Linked DNA regions of Sus scrofa. The main gene of each other region encodes a partner of the protein of the gene in region 2 in a complex. Links are inferred from orthologs where the notes say so. Each region holds a gene or a part of one and is shown on either strand. Other genes may lie near its edges.

Region 1 (4,287 bases), on a different chromosome or scaffold from region 2:
TGGGTCTCCCGGACCACCTCTGAGGCTTTTCTAGGTGCTTTTTCAAAGGCTTCTTGGCCTCCCAGACAATGCAAACTCAGGCAAAGTGTGCTGGGGCTGTGGGTGAGGCAAACCCTGGCTTCTCAGGGGGTGTGGAAGGCAGAGAGGACCTTGGGGACAGAGGAAGGGCCTGTTAAGAGGGTGTGAAAGGCCAAGAGAGAGAGTGGTTAGGACATGCCACCAAAGCAGGAGGGAGGGAGTGCCTCAGCTGGCTGGGCTCCGAGCTGGCACCAGAGGCACTTTTGCAGAAGACAGGAACATGAGTCACCAGCTTCTCCCACACCCAGCACCCTGTTGGCAGGTGCCCCTCGGTTTGTTGAATGAATGTGGGGCTTAAATAGAAAGGTTCCTCAGAAAAGCAGGGAGAAAAGCAGCTGCCTTTCCAAGGGCACCGCCCTCAGCCAGGGCCTTTCCAACCAAGCCAAAGCCAGGAAGACGAGGGGCCAGCAGTAGGGAAATGCTCCCTCTCCCAGTCATGCTAACTCCTCTGCTCCAAACTAGTCTGCCCCTCTGCACAACATCAGAGCCTTGGTTTACATACTCCCTGGAGCGGGGACCTCAGTGCCTGCTAGGACAGTGCGTTTCTGGACAGCTTCACCAGGGCGATATCTGCCTCCCCACACACCCCATGGGGGACTCCTGTCTGAAGTCCCGTCCAACTCTCAAGTCCGCAAATGTGAGAATCCCAAAGGCGCAGGCGGGAACCGAGAAGGAAAGAAGGAGCTGCGCGGAGGCGCCGCACATAAGCGGACCCGGAGACAGAGCCACACCTCCAGAGGTTGCGTCTCTACCACCACGCGCCCCCGAGGAGGACGTGGACCACCGGGTGCTGACCGCACGTACGGACGACCTGGCTGCCCTGCCGGAAGGAGCGGACCCGGGAGCGAGAGGGAGGAAGGGCCGGCTGCACGGAGGCGGTTAGCCGCACAAGGGGCTACGGCGGGCGGCCGGGAGAGTGGACGAGGCAGCCTGGGTGTGGCCGGCGAAGCCGGGGACACTCACGTTCGCAGCCATGGCAGGATCCGGTCACCGCCCGCCTCACTCGGCTCAGCAAGAAAACGGACTTACGGCTGCACCACGGAATCCCGCCACCTCTCGACAGCCAGATGGCGGCCAAAAGGCGCGGGAAGCCCGGAGCCCTAGGATGCGCTACAGAGCAACGCCCCGCAAGCCGCGGTTTTTCTGCTCTCGCCCGCCGCGCCTCCTCCTGGGAAACGTAGTCTGGTGCCCTCTCCGGAAGTTGCAACCTACCCGGTACCTCACTGGTGCACCTGCGCATTGCAGGTCATTCTGGGAATTGCAGTTCCTTCTGTCTAGGGAGTTGCTCGGCGGCGCGCGGCCTGCTGGGAAATGTAGTTCCCGGTTGAGAAGGCCGGGCTAGGAGCTCCGAGGCAGGCGCGCGGAGGGCAGGCCTGGAGGGGGCGGGTCCGCACGGGCCTCCCAGCCGCCCGCCTCGCCGGGGAGAGGTCACGGCGTGAGGCAGCCACCGCGATCACCGCGAGGTTGGAGCGCCGGGCTGCACTATGGCCTACTGCCGGCAGGAAGGTAGGAGGGCGGGGTACCTAGAGACGGCCTACGAGGGCCTGCAGGGAACAGGCGGATTGTGCGGCCCCCGCGCCCCACCACTGGTGCGGAAGATAGTCCTCGGACCCTTGCGTCGGGTCTCCATCCCCGCTTTACAGATGGGCAGCGGGGAGAAGCGAGGCGGTCCAAGGTCACCGTGAGGCTCGAACCCGGACGTCTGAGGGACCACCACGTGAGAGAGCTCTTAAATTAGGCCTGGGGGTCGGAGGAGTGCGAGCGCGCTGCCGCTGGCTCCTAACGGAGAGTTTATAGGTATTAATTGTTACTATGGCGCTTACCCACACCACGTGTTCCGGTTTGCGCCGCCCGTCAACAGTCCTGGAAAGTCGCCCTCGGCGTGCTCTGTGCTGCGGCGTGGAGTACCGCCCGAGGGGACCGGTCAGGCGCTGGTGCGCCCTAAGCCAGGCCCTGTTCATTTCCCGAGAGTAAACAGCGACCCAGAGGTGACTAGGCTAATGCCATGATGCCGGCAAGTCCGGAAGCTGGGGTTGGACCCCCGCGGTCTGATTCCAGAGCTGCCCAGCCTGGTGACCAGTGGATTCCAGGGAGCCTTCCGTTGGGAAGACAACCCCCCAAAAAAACAAAACTAAATAGGTTTCTGTCTATGGTCTCTCTCCTTGTTACCTCTCCTGGAACCCCAGAAGTCTCCAGGCCAGGGGTTCGAGGGCCTCCGCGCACAACCGCTAACTGGCTCTTTGTCCCTGAGCTGTCACCCAGCCCCTCCAAGGCCCAGTGTTCAGTCTTGTAAAATGAGAAGTAGGCCTTCCTTCCTTCTCCACATATTCATGAAGCACCTTTTTAGTGCCAGGTGAGGGTGATGGTGAACACCTGAGACTTTAAAGCTCCAGAGAGAGCTGGAACTCTCCCTGAAATTCTTTAATGAATAGTCTAGCTCCCTCAGGTCATTGAGGGACCCTTAAGCCCAGAGATGGAGGTGATCTACCCAAGGTCATGCTTAGGTAGGAAAACAGCTCAATCTAAAATGCTAGGCCTTTCCCCCAGTACCCCATTCTGCTTCCAGAACCCTCCTTCCCTGGGTCATAAAGTCATAATACTCACGATGTCTCTAATGAGTGCTATTTTAATTGATTGATATTTAACTCTGCCTTGAGCAAAAGTCCTCTGCCCTCACCGCTTTGTTAGAGAGTAGGTCTCTTGTTTTTTATTGCCTTCTGAGTCTACTTTACTTCATCATTTAGCAATTTTTTTTTTTGAGCCTTGTGGGCTTAATGAGGCCATGCAGATAAACAGACCCTCCTTGTCCCTGAGGATTTCTGGAAGTCCAAGGCAGGTGTTTATCTACCACCAAATGGTAGGTCATATCTTTTCCTGGGTCAAAGATCTCTCTTAGTATTGGGGGTGAGAACTGAAAGCATTCATTTTTAGGCCTTCCCTAGTTTTTAATATTATCCATGCCATGGTCCCCTAAATCCTAAAAAACTTCTTTTCTACCTAGCAATTCTTTCTGTTTCCCATGGGACTTAGAGAAGTGATCCCAAACGCCTGATTGAGGGCTTGTGTGATGGAGCCCCCACCTGATCCGTCCCCAGCTGGTCTCTAATCACCCACTGCTGACCAGCCACACTGGCCTCAGCTGTTCCCTTTGCCTGGGTGCATCCTTCCTCCAGGTCTCTTCCCACGGCTGCCTCCTCATCCTTTAAGATTCAGCTTCTCAGTAAGGTCTTTCTTGACCCTTTGTGTCTTTCACTTCCTAAACTATGAAATTACCTGATTTGTTTTGGTCATCTTATTTCCTGTCTTCTAGCAGCATTTCCTGTCTTCTGAGAGCATTAGATGGGCCATACCCCTGGCACCTGGCACCTTTACCCAGTGAACCCGTGCATACGCTTTCCCTCTGTTCTAAGTGAATCACATTGACTTCAGGGGTGCCCTGCCCCTATCCCAGCCTTTGGAGTAAAGGCCTCAGCTGGGTGTTCAAGGTGTTGGGCAGTGTGGACCCAGACTAGCTCCCTGGCCATGGGTAGCACTGTTCTTTCTCTTCTAATGTTGACCCCGCTTCTGTTCAGCTAAACTTTATTGAGCACCTGTGAAGTACCAGCCACTGAGGCATGGCTTTGGTCATAGGTGGGCCATCTGCCCTCATGGTGTGGTGGGGGCTGGGGGGGGAACCTTCCTGGGTTGGATGTGCTGAGAGATTCTGATGTGTAAAGACCCACACGTGTCCTGGGGAAAATGAGACCACCCATCCAAGGGTTTTTTTCTCTAACCTGCTTCATGGTGATAACCTTTCTCTGCTGGGGCGGAGGTCTTCATGTTCGAACCCAGAGTTCAATTTCTCCATTCACGTCTTCAGCAAATACCGATTACCCACTATGTCTTGGGCACTGTTCTAGGCTCTGGAGGTGCTGCAATGAATGGAGCAGACATTTCAATTTCAGTGGGGGTGACAGGTGGTAAACAAATATGTAATTGTAAGGTGAGAAAAAGCAGGTAAATGGTGATGGGAAAGGATGAAGGAGGATGGCATCTGAGCAGGAGGTATGAAGGCAGGGAGAAGGTGGCTGAGAGGGGATCTCAGTGTGTTCCTAGGGGGCAGACAGCCTGTGCAAAGGCCCTGAGGTAGGCGTGTGCTCAGCACATTCAAGTAGAAGCAAGGAGATGCTGAGTGGAGGGAGAAGTGGGGAGAGGGGGTCATGAAGGTGA
Region 2 (4,538 bases):
TTAAGGATCCAGCATTGTTACTGCGGTGGCTCAGGTTCGATCCTTGGCCCTGAAACTTCCCCATGTCATTGGTGTGGCCAAAAAAAAAAAGTCATGGTATTGCCTGCACTTCTGAACATTAGTCTATTCTTAATGAGTAAGGGAATACTGGGTCATTTTTACCCAATAAATACTGTTTCCTGAATTAAACTTCCTCAAACAACACCTTTGTAATTTCATTTTCTATCCTTAATCCACTAAAAATAATAACTTCATCACCTACAAGATTAGGGCTAAATTCTTTTACCAGTTCAAATCTGGCCCTACCATATTCACTTGTCCTTATTTACTTCTTAGTATGTACTCTCTGTCATTGTCCCCTATAAATGTGCTGGGGTTTGTTTGTTTTATACCTCCAAGCTATTTAAACAACATGATGCATCCTGTAAAATACTTTACAAATATTAGGTCATGTAATCTTCATAACAACCCTATGAGATTGATAGATGAGGAAACTGAAGCACAAGTGACTTTTCCAAGTGGCAGAGCCAGGATTCAACTTGGGGCAGAAGGGATCCAAAGTCAATGGTGCTTGACCACTGAAAATATTACTTTGGGTCCCAATGAATTCACCATCTGAAATATCATCCCTTCTCCATTGTCTATTTGAATTTTAATACTCATCCTTCAAGATGTAGCTTAAGTAACATTTCTTGTATGAAGTCATTCCTTAGCTTTTCCATCCCATACTTTTCTCTTGCTCTGGCACTACATCAGATATTTAAATGACCAGTGTATGTCATCTTCCCAATCAGACAGTGACCACTTCCTATACTATTCACATCCCCCAGAGCTCCTCTCATAGCACAGTCCAAATGGCAAGTGCTCAATACTTGTTAACCAAACATGTAACTCAAAGCTTTGAAAAAGACATATTTTGCATACAGCCCAAAGTTTATTTCCAATTTAGCTTACATGTGGTAGAGTCAAAACACCTATCTGCACTCAGCCTCTCACCCTACTCCTCCAACTCTTTTAAAAAATCTGCTTAGGATTTCTCTCATATAAAGTCGGTGAAGCACAAACTCTTTTTGCCGGCATCCTGCTCTCAAGCACCGAAGCCGTAACAGCCGACTACCGCAGCACCCGGTACAGCATCTAGGACACAGAACCGCACAGTATAAAAGTGGTATGGGAAAGAGTGAGCGGAATGTCTACTGGTCCAGGAAACAGGCGCTTGGTAGGAAAGCGCCAGCAATTTGTAAAAGACGGAAGTCCGCTCCGAATCTGGGAAGCCAGGTTCCCCGGCAGGCCCTGTGGAAAGACTGGAAGTGGACTTCAGCAAGAGAATCCGGAAGGCTTATTACCTAGTAATTAGGAACCTAAAACAGAAGACTAAACCGCGGCGCTGAGGCCACGCTTTGTGAGGTACTGTTACCGCAGCAGTACTGGCCACAACCAGGCAGAGCGGCCCCATCAGCCGCTCCTCGGGCAGCTTTCCAAAAGCGCTTACCCACACGTGTTGCCACCAACCTGCGGAAAATAGCTAGCAACTCCGGCTGGGGTCTTTGCAAGTGTGAGGGCAGCTAGGCACATGCGCACAGCTTCTCGCCGTGCGGGCCAATCGCAATGCGGCGCTGAGCATCGCGCCTGCGCAGTAGGCCTCCAGGCGCTCTTCCCCTTCCCTGCCGGAGCTGGCCGGCTTAGCTGTCCAATGCCCACCCGGAGCTGGGAGGAGGAGCCTGCGTAGAGTGCGTGTGAAGGGAGCAAGGGGAACGGCCCGGGGCCCTTGGTGTTTGACCCGTCCGTCGGTGCGTAAGAAGAAAGGAAAGGAGGCGGCGGTCCAGAGTAGCGGTTGCCGAAATGTTCCGGTGTGGAGGCTTGGCGGCGGGTGCTTTGAAGCAGAAGCTGGCGCCCTTGGTGCGGACGGTGTGCGTCCGAGGCCCGAGGCAGAGGAACCGGCTCCCAGGTGATTGACCCATCCCGGTAACCCCCACCTCGAAGTCCAAAGGCCTGGGCTCCAAAGGCTCTCTTTGCCTCTCAGTCCTAAGCCCACCCCACCCCCACCCCAGGGGAAAAACTAAACACACTCACAGTCGCTAAATTCCGAGGTGGAGAGATCTAAACTGTGAGTTTCGCAAATCGTGCTGACCTGACCTTCAGGGGATTTGAGCCCAGTAGTCGGCTTGAGGCCTTTTCCTGGGAGGCTTTGCTGTTCGGGGATAACAGACCAGCTGGCTGTCTCCTATTGTCCGATGCCACCTCGCAGCCACCCCCAGTTGGCCTTTTTAGAGCCGTGAGGTCAAGTCGACTTTGTCGTTTGTCGGTTGTGAGGCCCTAAGCAGGACGTTTAAGCTCGACACCTCAGGTCCTTTTGTAAATGAGTATATTGCCTGCCTACCTTCCAAACCCCACCTGTGATTCATAGATTTGAGCGCCCTGAGAAGCAGAAACAGTGCAATGAAAGTAAAGAGTCAGTCGGCTATGCGCCAGACACCAGGAAGAGTTGGCCCAGAATTCATTTGACATGTCTGGTCAGTGGAATTCTTGCTGGTCTCTAATGCTTCTAAGAAACAGTTTGCAGAACGCATTGCATTTGCCCTCCATGAAGTTGTTTCATCAAATGTTAGAGCTGGAAGGGATTTCGTGGTAAAGTTCAACCCATTCATTTTATAGATAATAAACCGAGGCAAAGACAGGTGAAATTACATGCCCAAGGTCACAAACCTAATTAATAGGCAGAGCAAAGTATAGTTTTCCAGTCTTTATTTCCCTAATCCCCTCGCCCTAACTCCACATTGCTTTCTAAAATTTGACCTCAGAAGGTTAAGAATGAATGCGGTTCCCCTTCAGCCGGTTGTGCATCAGATACCCTTGAATGTATCCAAGCTTATCTCGAGCCTGCTAATCTTCAACCTGCACAACTTCAGAGGGGTAAAGAATCATCTACCTGTAGGAGGTGCTGTTTTGTGGGTTTTTTAGTCAATAATCTTTGAATGGCCACCTGAAGATATTCATATTTGCAATGTGAGAAATGATCCTTGAGGCCTTTTCTTTCTTTTTTCTCTTTTACTTTCTTTTTTTTTTAAGGGCTGCACCCAAGGCATATGGAAGTTCCCAGGCTAGGGGTATTCGAAAGTTGCCCAGAAATTTACACAGAAACTTAAGTAAGCTGAAGATTTTCATCTACACACACTGGCCTTTCAAACTTTATGTACTTATTTTGCCTAAATTGTTTTGTGGGAAAACTAAGAATTATTGGCAATAGAGATCCTGAGGAGGAGTTCCTGCAGTGGTGCAGTGAGTTCGGAATCCAACTGCAGTGGCTCAGGTCCCTGCAGAAGCTCAGGTTTGACCCCCACCCCCCGCCCACTGAGTGGGTTAAAAGATTCCCTGTTGCCCTGCAGGCGTAGCTCGAAGCTAAGGCTTGGACTCAGTCCCTGGCCTGGGAACTTCCTTAGGCCACCTATGCTGCCAATAAAAAAAAAAAAAAAAAAAAAAGGAGTGAGAAAAAGAATGTATATATTTATGTATGACTGGGTCACCTTGCTGTACAGTAGAAAATTGACAGAACATTGTAAACCAGCTATGATGGAAAAAATAAAAACCATTAAAAAACAAAAGGAAAAGAAACAACTCACAATTTTTGCCAGCATTATGAAATCTGACCAAAAACGTTCTCATCAACTAAGTATGGATTTACAAAGGTAAATTGGTTTATTAGACATTTGAAGGTGGTTAGTAGTATTAGAACTGAAGAATACAGAAAATGTTCTTTTCCATTGCATGACTTTGTTTGAAAGCAGTCTGCTGTAGAGTATATTCCGACTTCTTGACATATCCATCCATCTCCTTGTGTATACTTATTCTTTGTCTTTTGGCCAAGCACCGGAGTGTAACGTTCCCTTTAGCAATGGGAGGAGATGAGGTCACAATTTCAAAAAGAAATGATTGTCATTTTAGGGATTAACCTTGTCTTGTGGCTCGATTTACTAATTGCTTTTAATCTGATTTCTTTTGCACACAGTAGCATTTACCATGTTTTTGCATAGATCAAGAAGAAGCATTTTTTATTGATATGCCATTTCCTCCTCCTTTTCCCCCCTTCCTCCCCACTAGTTCTTCACCAGGATTATAGCAAACTTTAAACCTACCTTGAAATGATCTCATCCATATCTGTCACCATTGTCAGGTTCGTTTCCATTATATGTTGCCTTTTGCCTTAAAACCATAATTGCTACTATTTATTTATTTGCTTAATTTAGATGCTCTGCCTCTTTCCAGCAATGATAGAAGGGAATTAATAGTCACCACTTTATGACTGCATTCAGCAGTGAGGAGCAGACTGGCTAAGTAATAGAGTAATAGATATTTTCTATTCTGTAGTATTTTATTTGGTTGCCAGACATTGTGCTGCCCATGTGATCAAACTGATCACTGACCCCTGACCTGAGGGTCGAATGTTTGAACATGTTTCTCTGTTCAGAATCCTTCTCACCTCACTAAAAAGGAAACTGGACTCCTTGTGGGCAAGGATCCAGACATCTGGACACCACCCA

The links.
Region 1: the proteins of AIFM1 (region 2) and CHCHD4 are in contact, whole or in part, in a cryo-EM structure (PDB 9GQZ), measured with the Homo sapiens proteins. The link is inferred for Sus scrofa from reciprocal best matches to the Homo sapiens genes AIFM1 and CHCHD4. Residues at the interface, in NP_004199.1 of Homo sapiens: Pro345, Tyr347, Ser500, Ser501, Leu502, Pro503, Thr504, Val505, Gly506, Val507, Phe508, Ala509, Lys510, Glu558, Asp559, Tyr560, Asn602, Ala605, Lys606, Phe608, Asn609, Ile610, His611; in NP_001091972.1 of Homo sapiens: Arg5, Glu7, Lys9, Asp10, Arg11, Ile12, Ile13, Phe14, Val15, Thr16, Lys17, His20, Thr22, Pro23.

Annotation. Positions count from the first base shown.
Region 1 is NC_010455.5:70,415,936-70,420,222, forward strand, and holds the start of CHCHD4 (mitochondrial intermembrane space import and assembly protein 40), read left to right. Parts: upstream 1-1,390; 5' UTR 1,391-1,562; coding exon 1,563-1,584; intron 1,585-4,287. Other genes in the region: TMEM43 (transmembrane protein 43), read right to left, coding at 1,042-1,053.
Region 2 is NC_010461.5:106,705,426-106,709,963, reverse strand, and holds the start of AIFM1 (apoptosis-inducing factor 1, mitochondrial), read left to right. Parts: upstream 1-1,673; 5' UTR 1,674-1,842; coding exon 1,843-1,948; intron 1,949-4,538. UniProt on the Homo sapiens protein: Functions both as NADH oxidoreductase and as regulator of apoptosis.